Linked DNA regions of Alligator mississippiensis. The protein of the gene in region 1 purifies or fractionates together with the protein of each later gene. This does not show direct contact. Links are inferred from orthologs where the notes say so. Each region holds a gene or a part of one and is shown on either strand. Other genes may lie near its edges.

Region 1 (7,900 bases):
ACTGGTAAGTCTCTGAACCAACCTGTAAATTCAGTTTACTTGCAGCTGTTTCAGTGCATTGCTAGTATGGTAATACAGAAATATGAATCACTGCATTGCTCCTCTCTCCCCGTTTACCCAGCCACAGTGATCAGAAGTATTCCTGCCTCCTCCCTCCCCGCCACAGTGGACCACACTGCAGTATATTCAGGCAAAGCTTAGTCTAGAAACAAAACATTTTTTTATCCTGGTCATAATTTTCATTGCATACTGAATTACAGAAGGCCAGAAAGAGCGAAAACAGACCTGCAGACTTATTTGAAATGATTCACGCGAGCTTTCAAATAACCCACTCACCCTGTAAAACCCATAGTAAAACATTCGGTCTGTAACTTGTAGTCTCCCTCTGTCCAAGAATGCCAATAGAGCACTTCACACAGTTCAACGTGCTTTACACATACAAGTGCTAATTCTGTCTCTGAGGTAGCTAAGAATTACTCTTGTTTTGCAAAGGGATCAACAGGGCCAGAGAAGTTAAGCAATTTTCCTTAACAAAGCAATGGCAGAGATGAGACTGACAGGAGGCTCTTGACCCCAGGCCTCTGCTCAAATAGTCTTTAAATTCCAAGCTCTCTGAGAAGGCAGCAGTAAGCCTGGAAGTAGCACAGAAATTGTGATGATGCTGAAGCCGTGTTGCAGTACTGTTCCCTCAATAAGAATCACCCAAAGGGAGAACATAGAGCTTGGGAGCCCAACACTCAGAAAGAAACATATTGTCGGAGAACTGAACATTCGCAACCTAGGACCAGAATCTGTCTTACTGGTTACACCACGGTAAGACAGTGGAGGTCAGCCAGGTTACCTTTGCTCTCCACCCCTGAAGGATTCCTTTACTACAAGCCAGGAAACCACTCTCCTGAACAAGCTCAGCTTTTCTGTTTCCGGACCAGTACAAGTCCCTTTTCACAGGTTCTGGGGCACAAGAAAGGCTGGTACTAAAGGTCGCTGTAACTGAAAGACTGAGCCCGAGTCACGATACCGATCACATTTTACACTCAACCACTGAAAGCAAAGCCTTGGAGACAATAACAAAAGCAACAGTATTAGGCACAATAATACTGAGTAGTGATTCACACACAACTTCTCCAGCACTACTATGTCCACACCTCTCTGACATTCTTTGTGTCCAATGCCCAATGCCCAGATGCTTTAAAAAACATATTTTATATTTCTCTATGGTGTTGAAGTGCTTCTAGTGTTGTCACTTGGCCCTCCACCTTTGACAGTTAATAAGTAGCATAACTACCTCAGGCCCCTTCAGTTTAATTTCTTTCCAGGCTTCCATCGTTCAACCAGGTCTCTGCAAGAACCCACCTTCAGAGATTTTGTTTTTTCTTTCTGGTGATCACAGGCTACAAAGTTTCAGCCTGGCAGGTTTAAACCCTGTGGAACCAGCACTGTGTTTTCTATAGGCTGTCCTTTTCATTTCACCTCCTGCTGAGACTATAACAGGTCAGCAGCAGGTGGCAACAGAAACCTTTGCGCTCAAAAAGAAAATTCATAAGCAAGGGAAAAGGCTGGGATTCCACTGTGCCCAGTCTCAGCCAGTGGTATCTGCACCTCTGGGCAGAGTCTGCTGAGTAGCTTTAGAGATGAAAGAGATTTGGCCTTTCCACAGATAAAATAAGCTTTAATAATAACCAAGGGGAGGGGGTGGTAGCCAAGAGCTCGTTCGTACTAGTATTTTCAAGACTGGATCCTGTACTCCAGTATACATACCCAAAGGCCCTTTTCCAAGGAAGCAGGGCAGCATGGGACAGGTATCTGAGGGTGTGGCTGAGACGTAGGTTGCTCTGGGCTATCAGGAATCTCTGATCATACAAGGTGAAGGAGGAGATGCAATAAAATAGAAACTATGAAGTCCCAGGGCAGTAAGTATGAGAGAAGGGGAGGGGATTTTGTGCTAAGAGTCTTCCCTCCTGCTTCTTTCCCACAGGCTCCCAGCCAAAGGATTCCCCTCCCCGCCCCATACATGGATTAACCCTTTAGCGTTGCTTGTCGGAGAAAGCCTTCAGACACAAGGCAATGCTGCCCCCACACAGGGATGATAAAGGCTGGAGCGTGCCACCTCCACAGCACTCCTGTCCTGAAAAGGAGCCAGGTTTCAAAGCCCGGCTTTGCTGCTTTTCTCCAGCTTGCTTCCTTTTAAGCACAAGACTGGGCAGTGGAGAGCAGGGGCTGCTCAGAGGCATCAAGCTTGGATTGACCCAGGACAGCCCTCAGCACATGATGCCACACGCAGGCCAAAACCACCCTGACCACAGGGGCGCCCGGGCGGCTGCAGGACACTCCCGCTGAACACAGGGCAGGGGCCACAGATCCTGCAGCAAGCCAGCGCCGACGGGGTGGGGGGGCCAAGGGCTGCAAGGTGGGGCTGCGCAGCCAGCACCCGGCCCGGGGCCCGGCTGTGGGTGGGCGGCCAAGGGAGCACAGAAAACGTGGGGAAGAGAGCTGCTCCCGCAGCCCCCAGCCGCCTCCCCTGGCAGACAGAGTCCTAGGAAGCGAGGCTGGAGGGACCTCGGGAGGGCGCCTCGCCCGCTCTCCCCGCTCAAACCAGCAGGGCTTCAAGCCTGGAGACCCCACCGCCTGCCCTGCTCCGCTGCCCTCCCGGGGAGTCAGCTCCTCCTCACACCAGCCTCGTCTCCCCGCTGCAGCTGGCTCGCGGCTCTCCGCATCCCCTGCTGCTGCTGCTGCTGCCCGGGGGAGGCCCCGCAGGGCCGGGCACCGCCAGTCCCAGCCCCAGCCGCTCGGGAAGGGGGGGACGCGCCTCCCCCGCGCCCTGACCCGACCCTACCCGGCCCGGCCCCCGCGCAGGCCGCCCGCTACCTCCGCGCCTCCTCGTCGCTGTCCAGCCCGCCCGGCCCCTCGGGCGCCGCCATGATCACATCGCACTCGGCCGCCGCCGCCGCCATCTTACCGCCGAGCCGGGACCCGGGCAGGGGAGGCAGGGAGGAGCGGGCGGGGGGGAGGGATGGGGCCGGAAGAGGCACGGACTTCCGGGAACGAGGAGAGGCCCCTGCGGTCCGCCAAGACGGACTCCGCGTCCGACAGGGGAGGGGGGATGAGAGCGGAGGGTGGCAGGAGATGGCCCGGGGAGGGAGGATGTGCGAGTGTGTGAGTATGGGTAGAGCATAGGATCTTGAAAAGGGGGTGCAGAGGATGTGGTGCATCATGGCATATAACACACATTTTTCCTCAGTGAAAAAAGAAACTAGAAGCTGTACTAATAAGCCAGGGGCCTTGGACTGCATTGTTCAGTTTAAGATTGAATAAAGGTGAGAGGGAGGAAAGCCTCTATTGGAAGATGCCATCATTTGCTAGCTCCCACATTAGGTGCGCAAATGCAACAGGCGAGGCAGAAATAATCCAAGTCACCTCGTTCACCCCGCCGGCATTCGAATGAAGTGGACCGCCTCTCTTGCAGGGTCAGAAAATGCAACCTGGCCTTCCTGATCATCTGGATGCTGCCTCCAGCACTTTGCTGAAAGTTAACGTTCACTTGAATTAGTATTTCCAAACCAGAGTGGATGTTTTTGGCTAAAGATAAAAACAGGCTGCAGGAGCAGATCCCAGACAGCAGAGCAGCAGCAGAAAGGCTAGGTGGATTAGTGGAAACATGGTAGAAATAGAAACGGAGGGACCTCAGGAGTCATCTCGTCCAGCCCCCTGCTCAAAGCAGGACCAGCCCCAACCAGATCGTCCCAGTCAAGGCTTTGTCTATCCAGGGCTTAGAAACCTCCAAGGATGGAGAGCCCACAGTCTCTCTGGGTTGCCTGTTCCAGTGCTTCGCCACCCTCCCAGTGAGAAAGTTTCTCCTAATATCTAACCTCAATTTCCCTTGCTGTAACTTGAGACGGTTGCAGCACTGGAAGTATGCCCAGTGATATGATATGGCAAGCACCACCGTGTGCTTGCTGCCCATGCAGTGCTGAGGACACTGAGTAGCATTCCTAGGTGCAGCTGTGACATGGATCATAAATCACAGTAATACTGTTGTTCTGAGTGGCCTCCAGCTGCAAAACATCTTCCCCCTGTACCACCCCCATGCAGCACCCAGCCTTAGCAACACTGAGGGATAATAATTACCTGAAGTAATAATTAAGATCTTAAACACCGAACTGCAAGCATGCCTTATAGCCTGTTTCTGCAAGGACCTCTGCTTGGGCAAGTGCAGGGGTTCAACTGGGAACTCACTGCATAATCAACCCTGTCTCAAACGTCTGGGTGACACTCAGTTCTAGTTTCACACCTCTCCTTTTCCTGCCCTTGTCTCTTGGTATCTTCCATTTCTGAGGCCCTTCGGAGGACCCCCCCCCCCCCCCCCAATTATGCAGATATTTGCTGTCTGTGGCAGGGTGGCAAGCATGGAGCAGAAAACAGCCCTTCATGGTTGGATTGGCAGGATCAGGGCTGCCTTGTATGGTTGCATTTAGCTGACCAATCATTGGAGCAATGGCCAAATCTTAATTTTCTGTCGAAATTGCTGCCTCCTCCATAAATAATTAAATATTCCTTATAGCAATGATGCCTCTTAAATTCATCGCTCTCTCTCCTCACCCTCAAAAAGTCTTTGGCATGAGCCTTTAGCACAGGGGTGGGCAAAACGTGACCCACGGGCCAGATGTGGCCCACCAGGCCATTCTATCTGGCCTGTGGGGGCCCTAAAAAATTTAGAAAAGTAAATTATCTGCCCCTGGCTGCCTGTCGTGCGGCTCTCAGTGGCTTGCCAAAACTCAGTAAGCGGCTCTCCACCGGAAATAATTGCCCGCCCCTGCTTCAGCAACTGAGAAATCATCTCAAATGCTCTTAAAGCTGGAGAGAAGCTCGGTGGTCACTCTAGCACCATGGTGAGGTAACAACATTTCAGGCTATTGACACATGTCTGCAGCCAAAAGGTTTCACTCACTTCAAAATCCTCAACAACGTCATGTGCTCCAAGAAAGGAAAATGTCATCTATCATCTGTCTGGTTCTATCTAAAAGATGTATTTTTTAAAGCTTTTTCTTCAATGTACAATGGCCTTGTTTCTCTTTGTCTCTTTCCTTGCTGATTCAGTTAGGTACAATGCTACCAAGCCTTCTGCCTCACTTCAGACTACATGGCTAACTACCTCCCTTTGGTTTTCTTGTCCTACTTGCCCCAGGTTTCATGCAGTCTGGTGGAGGCAGATCTGAAGAAAGGGATTGTGTCAGTCAAGCCTGGTTTGTAGGGACACCAGGGGCTCAGCCTTGAAAGCTGGAAGTCACTAGTCTAGCACAAGTCTATTATGTACTGCAGGCCTCTGTGTGGGCTCAATAAAGATCCCATTTCCACAGCTCTGCCTGCCGCCTCCCTTAGTATTAATGTTACTACCTATTACTCGCAGTTCACTTGTCTTCTGAGATTGTGCACATGGATGGACAGGTTCTCTTTGGTCTAGAATTACTGCATCTGATTTATTGTGGCCCAGTCTAGGAGCAGGAAGGCACTGCACAGCCCGTGTGCAAGGACTCTAGATGGTGCTGTCTTGCTGCACTTATCCCGTCTTGCCTCATGGTTGCACTGTCTTGTCCTCTGTGGTTTCCCCTTCCTTGATAGTTGCAGTGTGAGCCGTTAAATAGGAAGGTTTTAGAAGAGAAAGCAGGAAGAGCCTTCAAGAGAGCAGAGGTAGGTAGAAACCACTCCTGGTAGCAATGTGTAGGGCCATCTGGATTGTGGGTGCAGACATGCACAATTCACAGATGCCTTTGAACAAGAGCTGGCTTCTACTGGGAAACTGGTGCAGCCGGACGCTGGCTTCCAAGAACAGCCGAGCTCTTCATCATTGTCACCCCTTCATGTTGCGGCAACCCCGGTCAGGGTCAGGACCCTGTTGTATCTGGCACTGTGCACCCATGCACACCTGCCACAGTGAGAACATGGGCTCTGGGGCCAGTGGTTTTCCCTTGAATGTCCGTCTGCTTCTGGGCTTCAGCTGGATTTTAAGTCATTTGCATGTGTATTAGTTCCCTGTCTGGGATCTCTCTAGGGAGGGTGTGTTTGTGTAGAGGGGTGCGGGTGTGCAAGGGGGGTTTGCAGAACATGGCCCCCACATGCTCCCTGGCACCGAGATATTAAAATCACAGAATGAGGCAGAGGCTTGGGAGAAGGAAAAAGGCCTATTTGCTCCTTGGAGCCTGCTCTGTCCCCTGTCATGCTGGCCTCCGAGCCTCAGAAATGCTGGCAGATTTACCCTCATGATCCCACAGGGAGATGGGGAGAGTTATGCCCACTTAAAAAATGAGGAGCACCAGAGTAGAAATGCAATGACTGGTCCAGCAGCCATAGACAAAGCAGAGAGTGAACTCATGTCTCCTAGCCTTGCCCTATGGCTATATGGCTATCCTTCCTCCTGTCTCCTGCCAGCACAAGAGCTTGAAGGGGGCATGTGGTGGGCAGGGGGGAGCGGAAGAGACTTACCAGACACTCGGGGACTGCTGCTCTCTCCTGGGCTGATCCCCACCCCTTCTGGTTGTGAAAAACATTTCACTTTCTCCCACCCACACAAACCACAGAGTCAGTCTAGTAGTTCCTGGAAGGCAGTTTCCGCGGGTCTAGGGTGGAAGGTGGAAACTTTGTAAACTTTATCGCCCTGCTCAACCATAGGCAGAGAGGAAATTGGGATCAGGGGCACTGGGACAATGCCTGTTTCAGGTGAAAGTCCCCATGGGACCTTAAACATTCACACAGAGCCAACAGGGCTCCTGGCTTTAAGATCTTGGTGAAATGACCTGTGGGGTGTGGATGGGGAATCCTGGCCCTGATGGGATTCATATCAGTGGTTCCAGGCAGAGAAGGGACATTAAGCATAGTGCTAAGTCACTGTCCAGCCTAAAGTCTTGACATGCCCCTGGCATCTGTGCTGGGCAATGGCTTCACATCACAGCCAACATCCTGCCCCCTGCTGGCCAGAGGAATAAGAAAGCAAGGGTGCAGCCCTCTCCCTTGGCAGTGGAGGATATGCAGTGCTGGAGAAGCCTGGCTGGGCTCCAGGCCATGCGGTGCATTCTCCTGGCACTCTCCCGTCCATTCTCCTGGCACTCAGGTTGCAGCAGATGCATGCCTCAGCCTCTTCCTCCTCCTTGCCTAGATTAGAGCATCAAGATGGGGAAGAGCTGCAAGGTCGTGGTGTGTGGCCAGGCCTCCGTTGGAAAAACGTCCATCCTGGAGCAGCTCCTTTATGGGAACCATGTGGTTGGTAAGTCTGGGAGTGGGGTGGGTGGCCTGTAGTGGGCCTCAGGGGCAGGGGGGTGATCCTTCGGGCCTCCTCATTCATTACAGGCTTTGTTCTCTGTGGGCTGTGAAAGATGCAGCAGCAGCTTGACCATACCAACCATTAGTACACAGCCTGGATATTTGTGAGAGACCCTACAATAATAAATCAGCACCTGCCTCTCACTAGTCAGGAGGCAGATCTTACTGGAACTGCCCGGCTCTTGAGAATAAAATCTACCATTTAAAAAAAAAAAACTAGCATGCAGATGTGTGGAGGCTGGCAGAGCAATGAGCAGGGGAAGTGGGCAGGCAGGTTTCACTCACTGTCAGGGTCCCAGATGAGGTGAGGGTATGGAGAAGCCCCTGGAGATTTGCCTTCAGGGTCTGTCTTCTCTTTGCTTCAGCAGCAACACAAGAACTGCATCTGTGGGAGCCCCTTTATGAGCAGAGAGCTGGGTACAAGACAGGCAAAGGGCAGGGATCTGTTAGGCGTGTGGTGGTAGCTAAGGGCCACCTCTTGGGTGCAAACCTGATGCTGAAGTCATGGCCCCTGCTAACGAAGGGCTTTGCAGCCAGGTTCCCTGTGTCACCCTGTGCCTTCCTGCAGGTTCAGAGATGATAGAGACCC
Region 2 (7,458 bases), on another chromosome or scaffold:
CGCAACTGCGCACAATGCTACGGAGCACAACTGTGCATTATGGTGCACAACCATGCATAAAGTTATGGTGCACAACTGCACGCTACGGTGCGCAACTGCGCACAATGCTACGGTGCACAACTGCACGCTATGGTGCACAACCATGCATAATGTTATGGTGAACAACTGCACGCTATGGTGCGCAACTGCGCACAATGCTACGGTGCACAACTGCACGCTATGGTGCACAACCATGCATAATGTTATGGTGAACAACTGCACGCTATGGTGCGCAACTGCACACAATGCTACGGTGCGCAACTGCGCACAACGCTACGGTGCGCAACTGCGCACAACGCTACGGTGCGCAACTGCACGCTACGGTGCGCAACTGCGCACAACGCTACGGTGCGCAACTGCACGCTACGGTGCGCAACTGCGCACAACGCTACGGTGCGCAACTGCACGCTACGGTGCGCAACTGCGCACAACGCTACGGTGCACAACTGCACGCTACGGTGCGCAACTGCGCACAACGCTACGGTGCACAACTGCACGCTACGGTGCGCAACTGCGCACAACGCTACGGTGCACAACTGCACGCTATGGTGCGCAACTGTGCACAATGCTATGGCGCACAACTGTGCATAATGCTACGGTGCACAACTGCATGCTATGGTGCACAACTGTGCACAACGCTACAGTGCACAACTGCGCATTAGGGTGCACAACCATGCATAATGTTATGGTGCACAACTGCACGCTATGGTACGCAACTGCGCACAATGCTACGGTGCGCAACTGCACGCTATGGTGCGCAACTGCACACAATGGTACAGTGCACAACTGCACATTATGGTGCACAACCATTCATAATGTTATGGTGCGCAACTGCGCACAATGCTCCGGTGCACACGATGCACGTTACGGCGCACAACTGCGCATACCCCCATGCTGGCAGGCGAGGGTCCGCACCTGGCCCGGTCTCCGCGGAGCGCAGCCCACTAGACCCCGTGTCCGGTGCTGCGGACAGGAGACCCGCAGGCGCGCAGAACAGGGCTCGGGCCCGGGACCCCCCGGGGCGCGGGGGCCGGCCCACGGGACACAGGCCGCGCCGCGTGCCCGTAGCGACGCCGAGTGCCCGGGCGGCCTGGCCGCCCCGCCCGCCCGCCCGCCCGTGTCGGGGCGGCGGCTGAGGCCCGTGGCCCGGGGCCGTGACGTAGCCGGACGAAGGGGAGGCCGTGGAGTAACCCAGAGGCCTTCACGGGCAGCGAGAGGCGGCCCTGTGTCCCGGGGGGAGGGGGGGCGGCGGCGCCCCGGGCCCGGGCTGTTTCTCTGCGGGGCTTGGTGGGCAGACCCCGAGGCCTCGTGCGGCCCCCTCGCTCGCCCCCGCGGTTTCCACGGCAACCCCACCCCCGGTTTCCACGGCAACCAGTGCCCCCCGGCCGCCCCGCGAGGGGACACGCCCGCGGCCGTGGCCGAGGGGAGGCGAAGCCGCCGCCGCCCCCGCCGGAGCCCCGCGCGCGGCCTCACCTGCCGCTCGGGGCCGAAGGGAAAATGGAGGCCTCCGCCGCTGCGGAGAGGGGAGCAGACGAGCCGCGCCCTCCCAGCGCGGAGACAGCCTCACTTCCGCTTCCGGCCCCCACCCTCCACGGGGTTTCCGGCCCTTCCGTCCGTCGCACTCTATGGTTCCGGCGCGGCGGGGCCGCTTCCGCTTCCGGCGGCGGGGGGGAGGATGCGGCTGCTGCTGCTGGCGGAGCTGGCGCTAGGGTTGGCGCTGGGGTTGGGCGCGGCGGCGGCGGGCGGTGGTTCCGAGCCCGACGCCGTCACCTGCGGCTCTGTCGTGAAGCTGCTCAACGTGCGCCACAACGTGCGGCTGCACTCGCATGACGTGCGCTACGGATCCGGTACCGGCCGGGGGGGGGGGGCACTGGGGATCGGGGCCGGGGGGGGGGAGGGGCAGCGCCGTCCCCAGTCTGGGCTGCAGCCGCACTGGGTGCCTTTGGGAGAGGGGAAAATGCCCCCCTCTCCCCGCCCATACACCTAGTAGCAGGAGGGGAACAAATTGCTCCCCGTCCCCACGTGGCAACTGGCAAAGCCCAGCCCGGGGCGGAGCAGGGGCATCGCTGCTGAGCGCCTCCGGCGATGGAGATCCCACGGTTTCCCTTTCGGTCGCTCAGGCAGCGGGCAGCAGTCGGTGACGGGCGTCTCGGCCGTGGACGACAGCAACAGCTACTGGAGGATTCGGGGAAAGACCTCCACGGTGTGCGGGAGGGGGACGCCCGTGAAGTGCGGGCAGTCCATCCGGCTGACCCACATCAACACGGGGAGGAACCTGCACAGCCACCACTTCACCTCGCCCCTCTCAGGCAACCAGGTAAGTCCTGGAGGTCGGACCCGGCGGCCGCCTCCGCACGCTGCTCCCGTTCCCTGCCGAGGGGCTGGCTTGGCCTTCACCTACACATGTCTCTCCTCAGCGAGAGGTTGGTGCTTCTGCCTGGACGTGAGCAAGATGAGTCCAGGTCTGGCTGATAGCTGGACTGGTGATTTCCTGTGACGGCGGGATCGTGCTTTTGCAGACCTAGGGCAGGGGACAGGGTTGCGTGCTCTCCCTGCAGCAGAGGGAAGGGGAGGCGCTTAGTCGCTGCTTTGGAAAGGCAGGTTCTTGGGGAAGTGCTGCCTGTGTTCACAGCTGTGAAGCTATCCTGGGGCTGAGCTGCATTCCCAACTGGACAAGATGATGATGTCCCTGTGGGGAGGGAGGAGGAACATGGGGGCATGCCCCTTACATCTGATGCAGAGCCGCATATTCAGCCCCTGGTCGGGGTTTTGGAGCTCGTTTTCCAAGACTGCATCCAGCCCACGCCACGAGTACGAATGTTTCTGCCCTAGGCCATGGCTAACGTGTCAACGCCTTGTACTCTTGCTGCATTTGTTCCAGGAGGTCAGCGCGTTTGGGGAGGACGGCGAGGGAGACTACCTGGATGACTGGACGGTGGTGTGCAGCGGGCCGTACTGGGCGCGTGACAGCGAGGTGCGGTTCAAGCACTCCTCCACTGACGTCTTCCTCTCTGTGACTGGGGAGCAGTATGGACGGCCCATCCACGGCCAGAAGGAAGTGCACGGCATGTCCTACTCTAACCAGAACAACTACTGGAAGGTCATGGAAGGGATCTTCATGAAACCCAGCGAGCTGCTGAGAATGGATCCCTACCATTCTGAGTTATGACGGACTGTGCTGGAGCTTCCCAGCGTTGCAGTACCTTTACCACAAGTGTTCAGCTCCTGTAGGGACCTTCTGCTTCCAGGAGCCTTTGCAGCAGCTCTCAGTTGCTGGAGCAGTTGGGCACAGGCCAGGGAACAGAGCCCTTGTTCCCCTTCTCTTTCCTTGCCTGGGTCTCGTTATCCCTGTTGGTCTAGGCTCCATCTGTTGCAACAGGCTCCTCTCACAGCAGGTTCCCCCCTCCTGCAGAGGTGCTAAGCCAAACTCCCACAGAAAAAGGGACCATTCGTGACTTGCTTTCATCACCTTGCAGCGAGCCTGTTCTCACTGTCACGGTTTCATTTGTTTGTCTCTGTGAGTTCTGTATTGCTGACGTTCATGCACAGACACGTCCTGGGGCGAACTGCTGATGAGCTCGGCCATAAAAGAATTTACTTCTCTAAGGGCGCGCGCAGTTTTGTTCTGCTCCTATGTGCACGGGGACAGAATTGCTCCCCTCCAAGCATCACACTCAGCAACAGCTCCTGTGGGAGGGGTGTGGGTGGGTGGTGCGCCCTCCCTTCATAAGCAGAACAATAAAAGCAACAGCTCAGCCAAAAAACAGCAGTGGCTGCAAGATAAGAAACTGCAGAGAACTTCCTTCATGTCACATGGGCTCAGAAAAGGAGCTGTGCTGATACCAGGAAGGGGAAGCTGGGCTGGAAGAGGGGACAAGTGCGGGTTAGGTGGGTTTAAATGACACAATTGAGCCTCTATTCCACGAGCCCCTCAGCATTGCTCTGTCAGGGGTCTGGAGGGGGCAAAGCCCAGGCTGCAGCCAGGGATGGTCAAGTTCGCAGCGTCTGCCTGCGTCCGACACCTAAAAGGAGAGGTTCCCACTTGGCCTCTGGGACACGGCACGGCTTGGGGCACGCCAGCCTGGCCTGTGCTCGCGGGACAAAGCGGCCGGCTCTGGTGAATTATGGCCCCTGGAGAGCTGCCAGGAGGAGGAAGGCTCGGGTGGTGCATGGGCAAGGAGGGGGGCAACATGCAGGGCGCCCCTGCACCACTGTCCGGTTCCAGCCCCCGGGAGGGTGGAAAGCCCCCTTTGCCCGGCGCCCTACAACAACCAGCCCGGCCTCGCCGAGCCCAGGACACGTGCCCCCTCTAGCCCCGCCCCTCCCGCCAGGCCCCGCCCCGTGGCGCAGGCGCAGCAGGTGACGCTCACTCCGGGGGCGCTCACGCTCGGCCCGCCCGCACTCTGGGCGCGCTGCCGGTCGGCCCGCGGGCGGCGCCGGGCCCGTGGCGGACGGAGCGGCCGGTGCCAGGCGCGGGGGCCGGGCGGGCCCGGGGGCGTCATGCTGCCGCCGCCGCCGCTCCCCGCCGCGCTGCTCGGGCTGGCGCTGGCGCTGGGCGCGCTGCTGCTGCTGGCGCGGTGAGGGCGGGCGCGACCCCCGACCCGGGCGCCTCCTGGGTCCTGCCGCCGCCCGCCCACGCCCAGTGCGGGGGGGCGGGGGCGGTGCTAGGGGTGCCCGGGGCCCAGGCTGCAGGTGCGGGGGGGACCACCGGTGCCTGGGGACCAGGGTGCAGGTGCCAGAGGGGCCCGGGGAGCAGGTGCCAGGGGGGCATGGGGTGCAGGTGCTGGAGGGGATACGTGGGGTGCCAGGAGGGCATGGGGGGTGCCCGGGGTGCAGGTGCTGGAGGGAATATGGGGGGTGGCTGGGGCGCAGGTGCCAGGGGGGCACGGGGGGAGCAGGTTTCGGGGTGCCCGTGGCCGGCGCTGACGCGCGCTGCGCCCGCAGGTGGCTGCTGTGCCGCCTGGCCGTGCGCTGGTGCCGGCGGCGGCTCCGCGCCGAGCTGCGGGTCGGCGGCTTCCTGCGGCTCCGCAACATCAGCCTCGAGTTCCCGCAGGAGCAGCGGGTCGTGGTGGGTACCGGGCCTTGCCCCCCCCCTTCCCAGCGCCCTCCCGAAAGCAGCGCGGTCGGGCGGCAGAGCCCGCTGACTCGCCTCTGTCCCCCCGCAGGAGATCGACAGCGTCTGGATCTCCAGCAAGCTGCTGAGCCACGACCTGCCGTGCGTACCCCGGGATCCCCGCTGCGTTGGCCGGGGGCTCCGCCGGCCCTGGCACCGGGGCTGCGCCGGGCAGCACGTGGGAGCACCCGTGGGTGGCTGGGCCGCCCCGGGGGGAGCCGTAGTCACGGCCTGGCGCTGTTTCCCCGTCCAGGCGCTACCTGGCGTTGTGCTTCGGGGAGGTGCGGATCCGCCTGGACTTGCAGAAGGCCCCCGGGCGCCTGCCCCCGTTCCCCGCGGCTCCCGGGGATGGCGGCGGTGAGGAGGGCGAGCGGGAGCTGCCCGTGAAGCCCTCCCTGCTGCGAGTCCTGAGCCAGGTGAGGCCTGGAGGAGCAGGGGTGCTGGGGGGGCGGGGGGCTCCCCCCAACCGTCCTCACTGCCTCCCTGTCCTCAGCTCGTCTCCGTGCACGTGGACTCCGTCAACATCATGGTGCTGCACATGGCCACCTCCGAGTCGCTCTGGCACATCCAGGTCACCAGGACCCGGCTCCTGCTGGACAGCGACGGCAGGAGGTAACGCGGCGGGCGGGGGCCAGGGGTCAGCTGCCCACAACCAGGAGAGCCCTGCCCAGCCCCCACCTCGCACGTGACCCCTCCTTGCTGGGCAGCACACGGCCACCGCTTGGCCCATCTGCCGCTCGAGGCCGCGCGGTGGTGGTCCTGGAGCCCTCTCCCCGGGGACCTGGACCGTGCTGGTACCCAGCGGGCCCTCCTGAGGGTGGGTCAGGTGCCCTCTGCCCAAGAACGCGCCGTGGCAGCCTGCTCCCCGTTGCAGCGGCGGTAGCTCGGGTTTGGGGCAGGGAAGGGCCTGCCTGGGGCAGCAGTGGAGGCAGGTGGGGCTCATCTCCCTTCTGCTGCCCCCCAGCCTGGACTGCGAGGTGACCTTGACGCAGGTGAACAGCAAGGTGCTGAGGAGCAGCCAGCTGGTGAGTGTCGGGGCCTGGGCCCCTGGGGAGGAGGCTGGGGCTGCAGCTGGAGCTCTGGGAGGAACCGCACCGTTGCTGCCGTCCCTGCCGAGCGCGGCTGAGGCTGTGGCACCAGGAGACCTGGAGCCGGCTCCGGAGCACGTGGGCTCCTCTAGTGGGAGGTGCCAGCTGGACACGAAACCCGCAGCAGAGGACGGGGCAGGGCTTGGTCCCCGGGAGGGGCGGCAGGATGCTGCGGTGGCCTGCGCTGGGCGCTGAGACCAGGCTGTGCTCAGGCATTGCTGGGCAGGGGAAGGGCAGGCAGGAAGCTCTGCCTTGAGCAGGGCCTCCCCTGGGAGGTTGGCAGGCTCCTCGACTCCCTCCTTTCCCCCCACAGGATGACACGTGCCTGGCGGAGCTGGCGCTGGCGCTCTCCCTCTCTGTGCAGGTCAGCTTGAGCAAGCGGCAGCTGACGGGCATCAGCTTGGGCGTGTGGACTCTGCAGGCCGAGCTGCACGAGGGGCTGTTCAGCAGCGAGCTGCTGCGCCGGGTGGCCCACAGCGAGAGACGGAGCCGCGCCAGGGACCCACCTGCTGACCCTGCCCCAGGTCTGGTCTTCATACCTGGGGAGGCGGTGGGGGTGGGGAATGGGTACCTGGGGCCCCCTGGGCTCTCTGCGGCCCTAGGGGTGTGGTGGGAGCTGGGCTGGGGGCAGTAGGGCTGGATGCTACCAGGGAGGAGCGGGGAGCTCTAGGCTCGATGGCTTATGACTGTGCCCCTCTCAGGCCCTGAGGCAGCTCCCACAGCGCTGTCTTCTCTGGGTGTGGGTGCCCTGCAGCTCATCCCCAACAAGGTGAAGGTGCAGCTGGAGAGCACTAGCGTGGTGCTGTCAATGAACAGCCAGAAGAGGTAATGGTGGGGCAGAGAATGGGTCCAGTGCCTGTGCCTGCAGGGGCTGTTGTGCTACTTGTCCCTGGTGCAGGGGCTCTTCTGCCCGTGGTGCCTGGTTTCTGCCTATCCTCCTTGGCTGTGAGCCTGTGGCAGGCAAGAATGCCCCAGGGGGCTCTGTGCAGAGCCAGGCAGCGGCTCTGGGGCAGAATGAGTGTGGTCTTAGGGGTGGGGGCAGCAGGCAGTTGCCCCTTGGAGACGAGGAGACCGCCAGCTGGTGCGCGCTGGGCTGGGAGGCAGGGAGGCAGGGCGGCAGGGGCAGTGGTGCGACAGGCCCTCCCCTCACGCCCTGCACCCGGGGCCGGCTGCTGCAGGCACCTCACGTGGACCCTGAAGCTGCTGCAGTTCCTGTAC
Region 3 (7,624 bases), on another chromosome or scaffold:
GACTGGGATGATGGGAGTCTGGAGAAGAAAAAACTGAAGGAGGCTTATCCCTGCAGCAGGAAGAATGAGAGAGATGACTCCCAGTGGCCACATGGGACAGGACAAGGACAGAGATGGCAGCAGGGGAAACTGAGACTGGGAATGTGGGAGGATTTTCTGGCTCTGAGTGGGGGAAGAAGGAAAGTCTCTGTCCTCAGACACAGCTGGGCTGATTTAGCCAGGGCTGGTCTTGTCTAGAGCACCGGTATGGACTAGATGCAACACCCCTGATCCCCGCCACAGCCAGCCTGCCTTCCCCAGCCCACAGACTCATGGCCACCCCACCCCCACTACAGACTCCCAGCATGCTTCCCACCCCCTCCAGATTTCCAACCCCCATTGGAGAATCTCAGCTCTTAGCTTTCTCTTTCTTGACCACAGAAAAAACAAGAGAGAGACTCTTTTCTTGCAAAGGCCTCCCATCACGACAGCTCAGGACATTTTGAACACTATGCATTCCTGTTGGACAACCCTGGGTTTCTCCTGCGAGCTGCCTAATGATGCTAATGAGGCATCCCACTACATGCTTGAAAGGGCTTTGAGGAACTCCAGCACCTGGCTGTTTTACCCTATTGGACCCTTCCTGGTGCTGGTAATGGAACCCAGGTGTCTTCACAGCCCACCCATGCCTACATCTAACCAGTGGTAGGAGGAAAAAAGCAGTTAGGAATCAGTCCTATGATGTGTATGAGTTGTGCCCCAGCTGGAAGTCACCCCAGTTACCATGGGACTCTCCACCCAGGCACGGATGACTGGGGCCACTGGGGAATGACCCAGCCTCCGATACAGCTAGATCTGTCCCCCCGCTTCACCTTGCCCCACTCTGGCTTGAGCTCCACTGTCTTGCAGGCATCCTCCAGCGCTCTCTGATACTCCCCCTTCTTGGCGTAGGCTGCCGACCGGTTGCTGTAGAGCACATGGTTCTTGGCATCTAGCTTGATGGCCTCTGAATAGTGTTTGATGGCCTCAGCGATGTTCCCCGCGCTCAGCGCTTTGTTGCCTTTCTCCTTCAACTCGTTCACCTGAGAGGGAGGGAGAAGGGGATGAATTAGCCCAGCCGGGAAGTCTCCCAGGGGCCACTGGGCTCCAGACAGCCCTGTCCCTACCCTTGGGGTCTCGGTCAGCACATGGAGAGTATCACTGCAGCCAGCTTTGTACCAACTGCCTCAGCTTTCCCACCAAGATGTGAGCTGGCACCTCGAAGGCACAGCTGGTGTGGATGCTGGGGGAAGATACGAACTTCCCAAAGCTGATTCCTGCCTCCCCCTTTTGCCCTTCCCACAGGGTCTTGCCCTGACCCTAAGAGGAGGCAAGACCCTGTAGCCAGCGGCTGTGGTCCCAGCAGCACACGCACAGAGCAATTACAACCTCCAGCCTGGCTGCAGCCAACACCCAGTGCCTCTGGGGAAGGCTTAACCCCGCCCCCCCCCAAGTGGCAGAGGCAGGGCGGTGGCAGCCAGCACTGCCCCGCCTGAAGCCTGGGAAATCTCCACAGTAGAAGAGGCAGCGCTATGCCCCCATCAGCCCCAACCGACGACTGTAAGAGCCTTGAACCCTCCAGTGATGGAGAGTCCCTAGCTCTCCTGCCCTCTCTCCCACTGCGGTCCTGCTCCAGCAGTTAAGTTTTCCCTGAGATCCAACCTAAACCGACTTTACCCTCCAAACTAAGCCTCCCCAGCCTGGTCTATGTTGTGACAAGACTTCCAGCAGGGATCACCCGGTGCCTCTGGAGGCTGCAGCTGGGCAGAAGTCCAGGGAGAGCAGCTCCACAAGTGCTTCCCCGTTGCTAGAAAGAGGCAGCTCGAGCCAAGGAGATCAGGTAGGGAGGAACTGTGCCACGGGGGACAGCTGGGAAGCCATGCATCAGTGCCCACAGCTGCCAGGAAGAAGCATTTCTGACCCCCCCCCCCCCCAAAATGAGTCACTTGATTGCAGGTGCCCGCCTCTGCCCTGGTCTCCAGCCCCTACCTCGCTGCATCCCAGCCCCATCCGGCACCTGAAGCCAAGCTGCCAGCTGCCTTGTGGGGGCTGAGCTCCAAACCGGAGGCCACCCAGAGGGAAATAATTACCACTTCAAGGCCCCCAAGCAGCTGCCTGCGGAAGTGGAAGGAGCAGTAATCCCACACCATCAATACCCCCTCCGCCCCTGCCCAGCAGCCCCCGTCACAAGGGGACAGAGCTGTGCCAGGCTCAACCTCCCAGCCTGGATCTGCCCCAAAGATGCAGGGCTCGGGGCTGCACGTGTGGAAGCCCAGGCCCAGGGCCGGGGACCGGAGTGCAGGTGCGGAGGTGGGAGAACCGGGCACCTGTGAGGAGCAGGGAGGTGCCGACACAAACAGGTCTCAGCTCCTCCAGTCAGGCAGGGGCGGGCGGTGGCCCCAGCCCTGAGCAGCACCCACGGGGCCGGGCCCAAGGGAGGAGGGGGAAAACACGACAGGGAACTCGTTCCACCTGCCCCTGCCAGGGCCTCTTCAGGCTGCAAGGAAGCAGGCAACACAGCTGCCCCCATGCAACCCCCCCAGGCTGCCAGCTGCCCCAGCCCCCCCTGCACAGCTGCCCCCACATCCCCCAGCCCCCCCGCACAGCTGCCCCCACATCCCCCCCACACAGCTGCTCCCACATACCCCAGGCCCAGATTTACCCCAACCCCTTCAGTCCCCACCTTTGCCCCCATCGCCCCCTTCTCACAGTGTGGGGGAGCAGTAGAACCCCCCCCCAATGCCCCCCGCGTCCTGCCCCCCCCCGCCCAGGGGCGCCCCCAGAAGCCCCCTCCCGTGCGGCAGGGCGGGCAGCCCCTTCCCCACAGCCCCCATAGCCCCGCCCAGTAGCGCGCCCAGCCCCTGGGGACCCCTCAAGCACCCCCGTCCCCCCAGATCCCTCTTCTCCACCTTCTCCATGGCTCAGGCCGGTCCGCGACCACCGCTGCCTTCTGGAACCTGCTAGAAAGCTTCCCGGCTCCGCCCCCGCCGCCCCATTGGCCGCCGCCCGCGGGGACCCCACCGCCCCCGAGCCACGATTGGTGGGAGACGCTGTCCGTCCCGGCCCCCGCACCGCCTCGCTGGAACGCGGGGCCCGCCCACCCCGTCCATTCCCTCTTCTCATTGATCCTCAGTACCTGTCAATCAAGCCCTCTGCCGTCCCTCGCTCCCCATGCCTGATGTCATTGGCTCCCGCCTGACAACTGAGCCCCGCCCTCTCTCTTCCGATTGGCTGCTGCTCGCCTCTCAGCGTCCATTGGTCCAACGGCCTTTCCATCCCTCAAAGGCCCCCCTCCCATCCTGGGATTTTGCGTCCTTTCATTGGCTGGCCGCAACGCCGTGACGCCACGCCGGAGTGCGGCGTTCTGATTGGGCCACTCCAGAGAGACGTCACCGCCCGTGGTCCTTTAAAAGGCGGCGCTGAGCCGCTGGCGGGAAGTGTGTCGTGTGGGCACACTGGTTGTTGTGTTGCGCTGTTAGGTGGTCTCTGCCCACGTGTGACCTGGGGAGTTCAACGCGGGGAGCCCCGGGGTCCTGGTGCACTTGGCAGAGCCTGGAGGGCCTGTTCCTGGCAGGCAGGGGATGAGGAGGGGAGGTCTTGTGTTTCAGTCCCCACTCGTGCCCCTGCCCTGCAAGGGGAGCTTGCACAATTACTCGTACCCCTCCTGCCAGGTGCGTGGGCTTTCGCCTCCCCCTGCTCCAGCCCACTGGGGAGAGGTCCCAGGCATCCTGCTGGGTTTCACACTCCCCTGCCTGGCTCGGCCACACTCCAAAATGAGGGCTGTTGCCCAGGGAACAAGCCCCCTCTGCTTGGTGCTGCCCAGGCCCCCTTACTGAGGATGCCCCCCAAGGTCTTGAGGTCCTGTCAGATCCTGTTGCCTCTACGCTTCCAACCTCACTGGGCCTGCCACCTTGGCCCCAGGCCTTGCTGGGCCCATTTCTAGGGCAATGCATAAGTTGTGTAAGATGCGTGTGTCCCTCTGGCACTGGTTCCTATGCTTCATATGCATGACGCGTGTGTGCGTCTCCAACACTCATGTTTTGCATGCCTCCAGTACATGTGATGTCCCGTGCGTACACATACCTCACCTCGGCTCTTGGGCATTCACAATGTCCGTGAACCTGGTGCCCTGTGTGGTCACCACCATGCATGACTGCCAGCTCGGGATCTCGGGGAGAGGCTTTGGGTGGAAGTGCTTGCCTGTGGGACAGCCAAATCTCCCAGCGGAGCTGCCGGGGGTGGGAAGCGGCAGGTAACCTGGGCTCCAGTGGGTGGGTTTTAGGCGAGGGGGTAGGAAGGAGCCAGGACACCTGGGTCTGTCCTGAGATGTGGCCTGGGCAGGAGAGGGCTAGTGGCTTAGGGACCACTGAGGAACCAGGACTCCTGGGTTCTGTCTGCAGTAATGGGCCTGGGGTGCAGTGCCCACAGTATGGCCGGGGGAGGGGCTGGAGCCAGGATGCTTGGGGTCTTTCTATCCCTGCTGTTATCCCTGCCTCAGTTTCCCTGTGGTAAAAAGCACTATCCCACACCCCAGCAGGCTTGTGCAACAGCTTTGCACAGCTCATGTGGCCACCTCTGTTCAGTGCAAAGTGTCTTGTTCTCCTCTGTAATGGGTGCGCGGTTTCTTAATGTGGTTTAAGGTGTGTGATGGAAAGTTTTATGCTAGATGAGATGTGTGTATGTGTGTGTGTGTATGTATATATATATATATATATATATATATATATATATATATATCTTGTGCTCTTCTTCCTGCCTGGAGGTTTCTTTTAAGCTGATGCATGTTCCTCTGGCCCAGGGTTTCACATAGCATGTGGGGCTCAGCAAAAGGCCCTGACTGTCAGCACACAGGGTGTAGGGCTAAACATAGCCCATGGTTGAAGCAGCCAGCAAGATCAGGCAGCCACGAGCTATTTATAGCCCCCACCTCCCCAAGCATTGGGTTTAAATAGCCAGAGCTCTGGTTATAGGGGGAGGGGGGATATGATCCCAGTCCAACTCCAGCCCCCTTTGCAAGGGCATTGCCTTTAGAAGCAGGCAGTCTCCCTGCTTGTGCACAAGGAGGGGGCTGAGGGGGGCAGGCCCTGGAGGCTCTGCTCAGCATGCCAGGAGCTGTAGTTGAAGCCCTGGCTGGCTGCAAAGAGGTTTTGGGCTGGGGCAGGAGGTGGAAGGGGTCAGAGGTCGAAGCATGGGGCTGGGTTTCTGCTCCAGAGGGGGTATCGCACCGCAGGCAGAGAACCCAGGTGTCCAGGCTCCCAGACCTCCCTTACTCCAACCCCTCAGCCCCCACTTCCCTCAGACCAGGGGGAGGCCCCAGGCGTCCGGGCTCCCAGCCCCTTGCTCTCAGTCCCCAGCTCCCAGAGCAGGGAGAGAAGCCAGGCATCTGGGCCCCGGCCGTCCCTCCTCTAACCAGCCCCCCAGGCTGCACTCCCCTCCCGAAGTGGGACGAGAAGGTGCCTGGCTCCCAGCCCCCGTCCTCCCGAAACAGAGCCTCTGCACGGAGATGGGGTTAGGGCGGGGACTACATTTCCCAGCATCCTTTGCATTAAGCTCTGGGCAGAGCTTGCTCCTAGCCCAGCTTTGCTCAAGCAGGACGGATTCCGCCTTCCCTCCCCCCCCCCAGCTAAATACCAGGTGCAATAAATAAGGGAGAAGAATTTCCCTCTTGCACTCAGGGACCAACCAGCGCCGGGAGGGGGGGCATCTCTTTGCGACCATGCCAGTGGCTCTGTTTGGCATTCAGGCCCTGAGAGTGGCAGGGCAGGTGCTGGGGGGCTGGGTCGGGCGCCCCGGGGTGCTGGGGGCTCTCTGGAGGGGGGCAGTTCACTTGGGCGATTGCTCTCTACCCCGGGGCGCGCTCCGGACCTGGGCGGGTGCCCCCCCACTGCACATGGCGGCCAAAGTGGACCTCACCACTTCCACCGACTGGAAGGAGGCAAAAAGTAAGTGCCTGGGGAGGTGGAGGGCAACCGGGCATAGCCCCCTGCTCCCCCCAGGCCTGTGCCCCCTCTGGCTGCTGTAGGTGTGCCCAGCTCCATGCCCTGCCCTTGTCCCTTTGCTAGGCACAGTGTGGGGGTCTCCAGGCCAGGCCTGCACCAGTTTAGGGCGTGCCAAAGTTTAGGGGTTTGTGCCAAGGGGGTGGCAGGACTCTCCGGGCAATGCTGCGGTTTGTGCCAAGGGGGTGGCGGGACTCCCAGAATCCTTTGCACTGAGAGCAGCCGTGGGTGCTTGCCAGCAGCTGCTAGTGGTGCAAAGGATTCTGGGAGTGCCTGCCTGGCGCTGCTGGGCCTAGAGGACACTGAGGCCTAGAGGGTGCCAAGAAGCCCTGGGGGGCAGAGGGCAGGGCTACAGGTCACCATGGAAACAGGCCCAGTGAGGCCTGGGGCCTAGAGCTCACCACCGGCAGGGTGAGGCCTGGTGAGGCCTAAAGCCTACATGCCACCCAGCAAGGGGCCCAGGGCCTAGAAGTTGCCATGGAAAAGGGCACAGTGAGGCCTTGGGCCTAGTAGTTACCATGGAAATGGGTGTCAAGCCCAGGGAGGCGTGGTGGGGGCTTGGCGTTGCTATGGAAACAGCCCGGTGAGGCCTCGGACCTAGGTGTCAGGCCCAGTGCAGTGGGGTGGGGGTGGCTAGAGGTTGCCATGGAAATAGGCCCAGGAGGCCTGGGGCCTAGGACCGACCCACCCCAGAGGCCGGATGAGGCCCAAGGCCTTCTAGTCACTATGGCAACGGGGCCTGAAGGGACCCTTGGGGGACACTGAGGACACTTCCCTGTTGGGTGGGCCTGGGCAGCGCCAAGCTGGGGGCTTGTTCCCTAGGTGACAGCCGTCATTTTGGAGGAGAGCAGTGCCAGGCAGGGGAGTAGGAAACCGGCCGGGCCCTGCCAGGACACCTGGGTCCTCTCCAGCTCTGGGAGGAGAGTGGGGCTGGGGGGTGAGAGCAGAGGGGCCTGGAGCCTGGGACTTGTCCCCCCTGCTCCCCAACTAGTTTGCTGCTCTGCGCCTCAGTTTACCCATCTTCCCCCTTGCAGAGTATCTGAGTGGCCTGAGCCAGAAGCAGCGGCGGGAGCATTACTTCACCAAGGACTTCCTCCCTCTGAAGAGCATTGACACCTGGAAGAAGATGGCTAAGAGTGAGTGTCCACATGGAGACTTAATTTAGATTAAGCCGGGTTTGGGGGAGGGGACAGGTTGAAGAAGCAGGTGTTATATCCAAGGTTAACTCATAGGGCTGGGATAATGGGGGCTCGGAGCCAAAGCTCATGTGGGGAGGGGGCTGCAGGTTGGGAGCGAGGGGCACCGGTGGGCAGGTGCATGGGTTAGGAGTGAGGGGCACTGGGGGAGCAAGGGACTACAGGTCGGGAGTGAGGGGCACTGGCAGAGGTGGGGGGAGGTTGTGGGTTGGAAGCGAGGGGGACTGGCAGGGCTGGGGGCATCAGGGAGCTGCGGGTTGGGCATGAGGGTCACTGGCAGGGCTGGGAGGCTCAAGGGCAGGAGTGACACCCCCCCCGTGCCTCCCCAGATGCCCATGTGAAGCAGCCTGAGGGGGCCAAGTTTCCCAAGGATGCAGCCCTTAATGAGAAGATCTCGTTGCTGCGTCATGACAT

What was found.
Region 2: the proteins of DNAJC7 (region 1) and BLTP2 purify together in Homo sapiens (co-immunoprecipitation; 3 studies listed by BioGRID and IntAct, counting the BioPlex papers as one, with this or other methods). This does not show direct contact. The link is inferred for Alligator mississippiensis from reciprocal best matches to the Homo sapiens genes DNAJC7 and BLTP2.
Region 3: the proteins of DNAJC7 (region 1) and STIP1 purify together in Homo sapiens (affinity purification with mass spectrometry; 4 studies listed by BioGRID and IntAct, with this or other methods). This does not show direct contact. The link is inferred for Alligator mississippiensis from reciprocal best matches to the Homo sapiens genes DNAJC7 and STIP1.

What each region holds. Positions count from the first base shown.
Region 1 is NC_081827.1:162,909,486-162,917,385, reverse strand, and holds the start of DNAJC7 (dnaJ homolog subfamily C member 7), read right to left. Parts: upstream 3,008-7,900; 5' UTR 2,952-3,007; coding exon 2,866-2,951; intron 5-2,865; exon of another isoform or gene 1-4. Other genes in the region: NKIRAS2 (NF-kappa-B inhibitor-interacting Ras-like protein 2), read left to right, coding at 7,162-7,255, 7,880-7,900. UniProt on the Homo sapiens protein: Acts as a co-chaperone regulating the molecular chaperones HSP70 and HSP90 in folding of steroid receptors, such as the glucocorticoid receptor and the progesterone receptor.
Region 2 is NC_081837.1:1,061,763-1,069,220, reverse strand, and holds the start of BLTP2 (bridge-like lipid transfer protein family member 2), read left to right. Parts: upstream 1-4,446; 5' UTR 4,447-4,539; coding exon 4,540-4,616; intron 4,617-4,983; coding exon 4,984-5,107; intron 5,108-5,204; coding exon 5,205-5,254; intron 5,255-5,405; coding exon 5,406-5,568; intron 5,569-5,645; coding exon 5,646-5,764; intron 5,765-6,116; coding exon 6,117-6,177; intron 6,178-6,553; coding exon 6,554-6,764; intron 6,765-6,941; coding exon 6,942-7,065; intron 7,066-7,418; coding exon 7,419-7,458. Other genes in the region: SDF2 (stromal cell-derived factor 2), read left to right, coding at 1,715-1,886, 2,160-2,356, 2,921-3,208. UniProt on the Homo sapiens protein: Tube-forming lipid transport protein which binds to phosphatidylinositols and affects phosphatidylinositol-4,5-bisphosphate (PtdIns-4,5-P2) distribution.
Region 3 is NC_081838.1:4,559,905-4,567,528, forward strand, and holds the start of STIP1 (stress-induced-phosphoprotein 1), read right to left. Parts: upstream 3,013-7,624; 5' UTR 2,937-3,012; coding exon 2,928-2,936; intron 1,062-2,927; coding exon 852-1,061; intron 1-851. Other genes in the region: ADP-ribose glycohydrolase MACROD1, read left to right, coding at 5,735-5,960, 7,049-7,150, 7,540-7,624. UniProt on the Homo sapiens protein: Acts as a co-chaperone for HSP90AA1. Mediates the association of the molecular chaperones HSPA8/HSC70 and HSP90.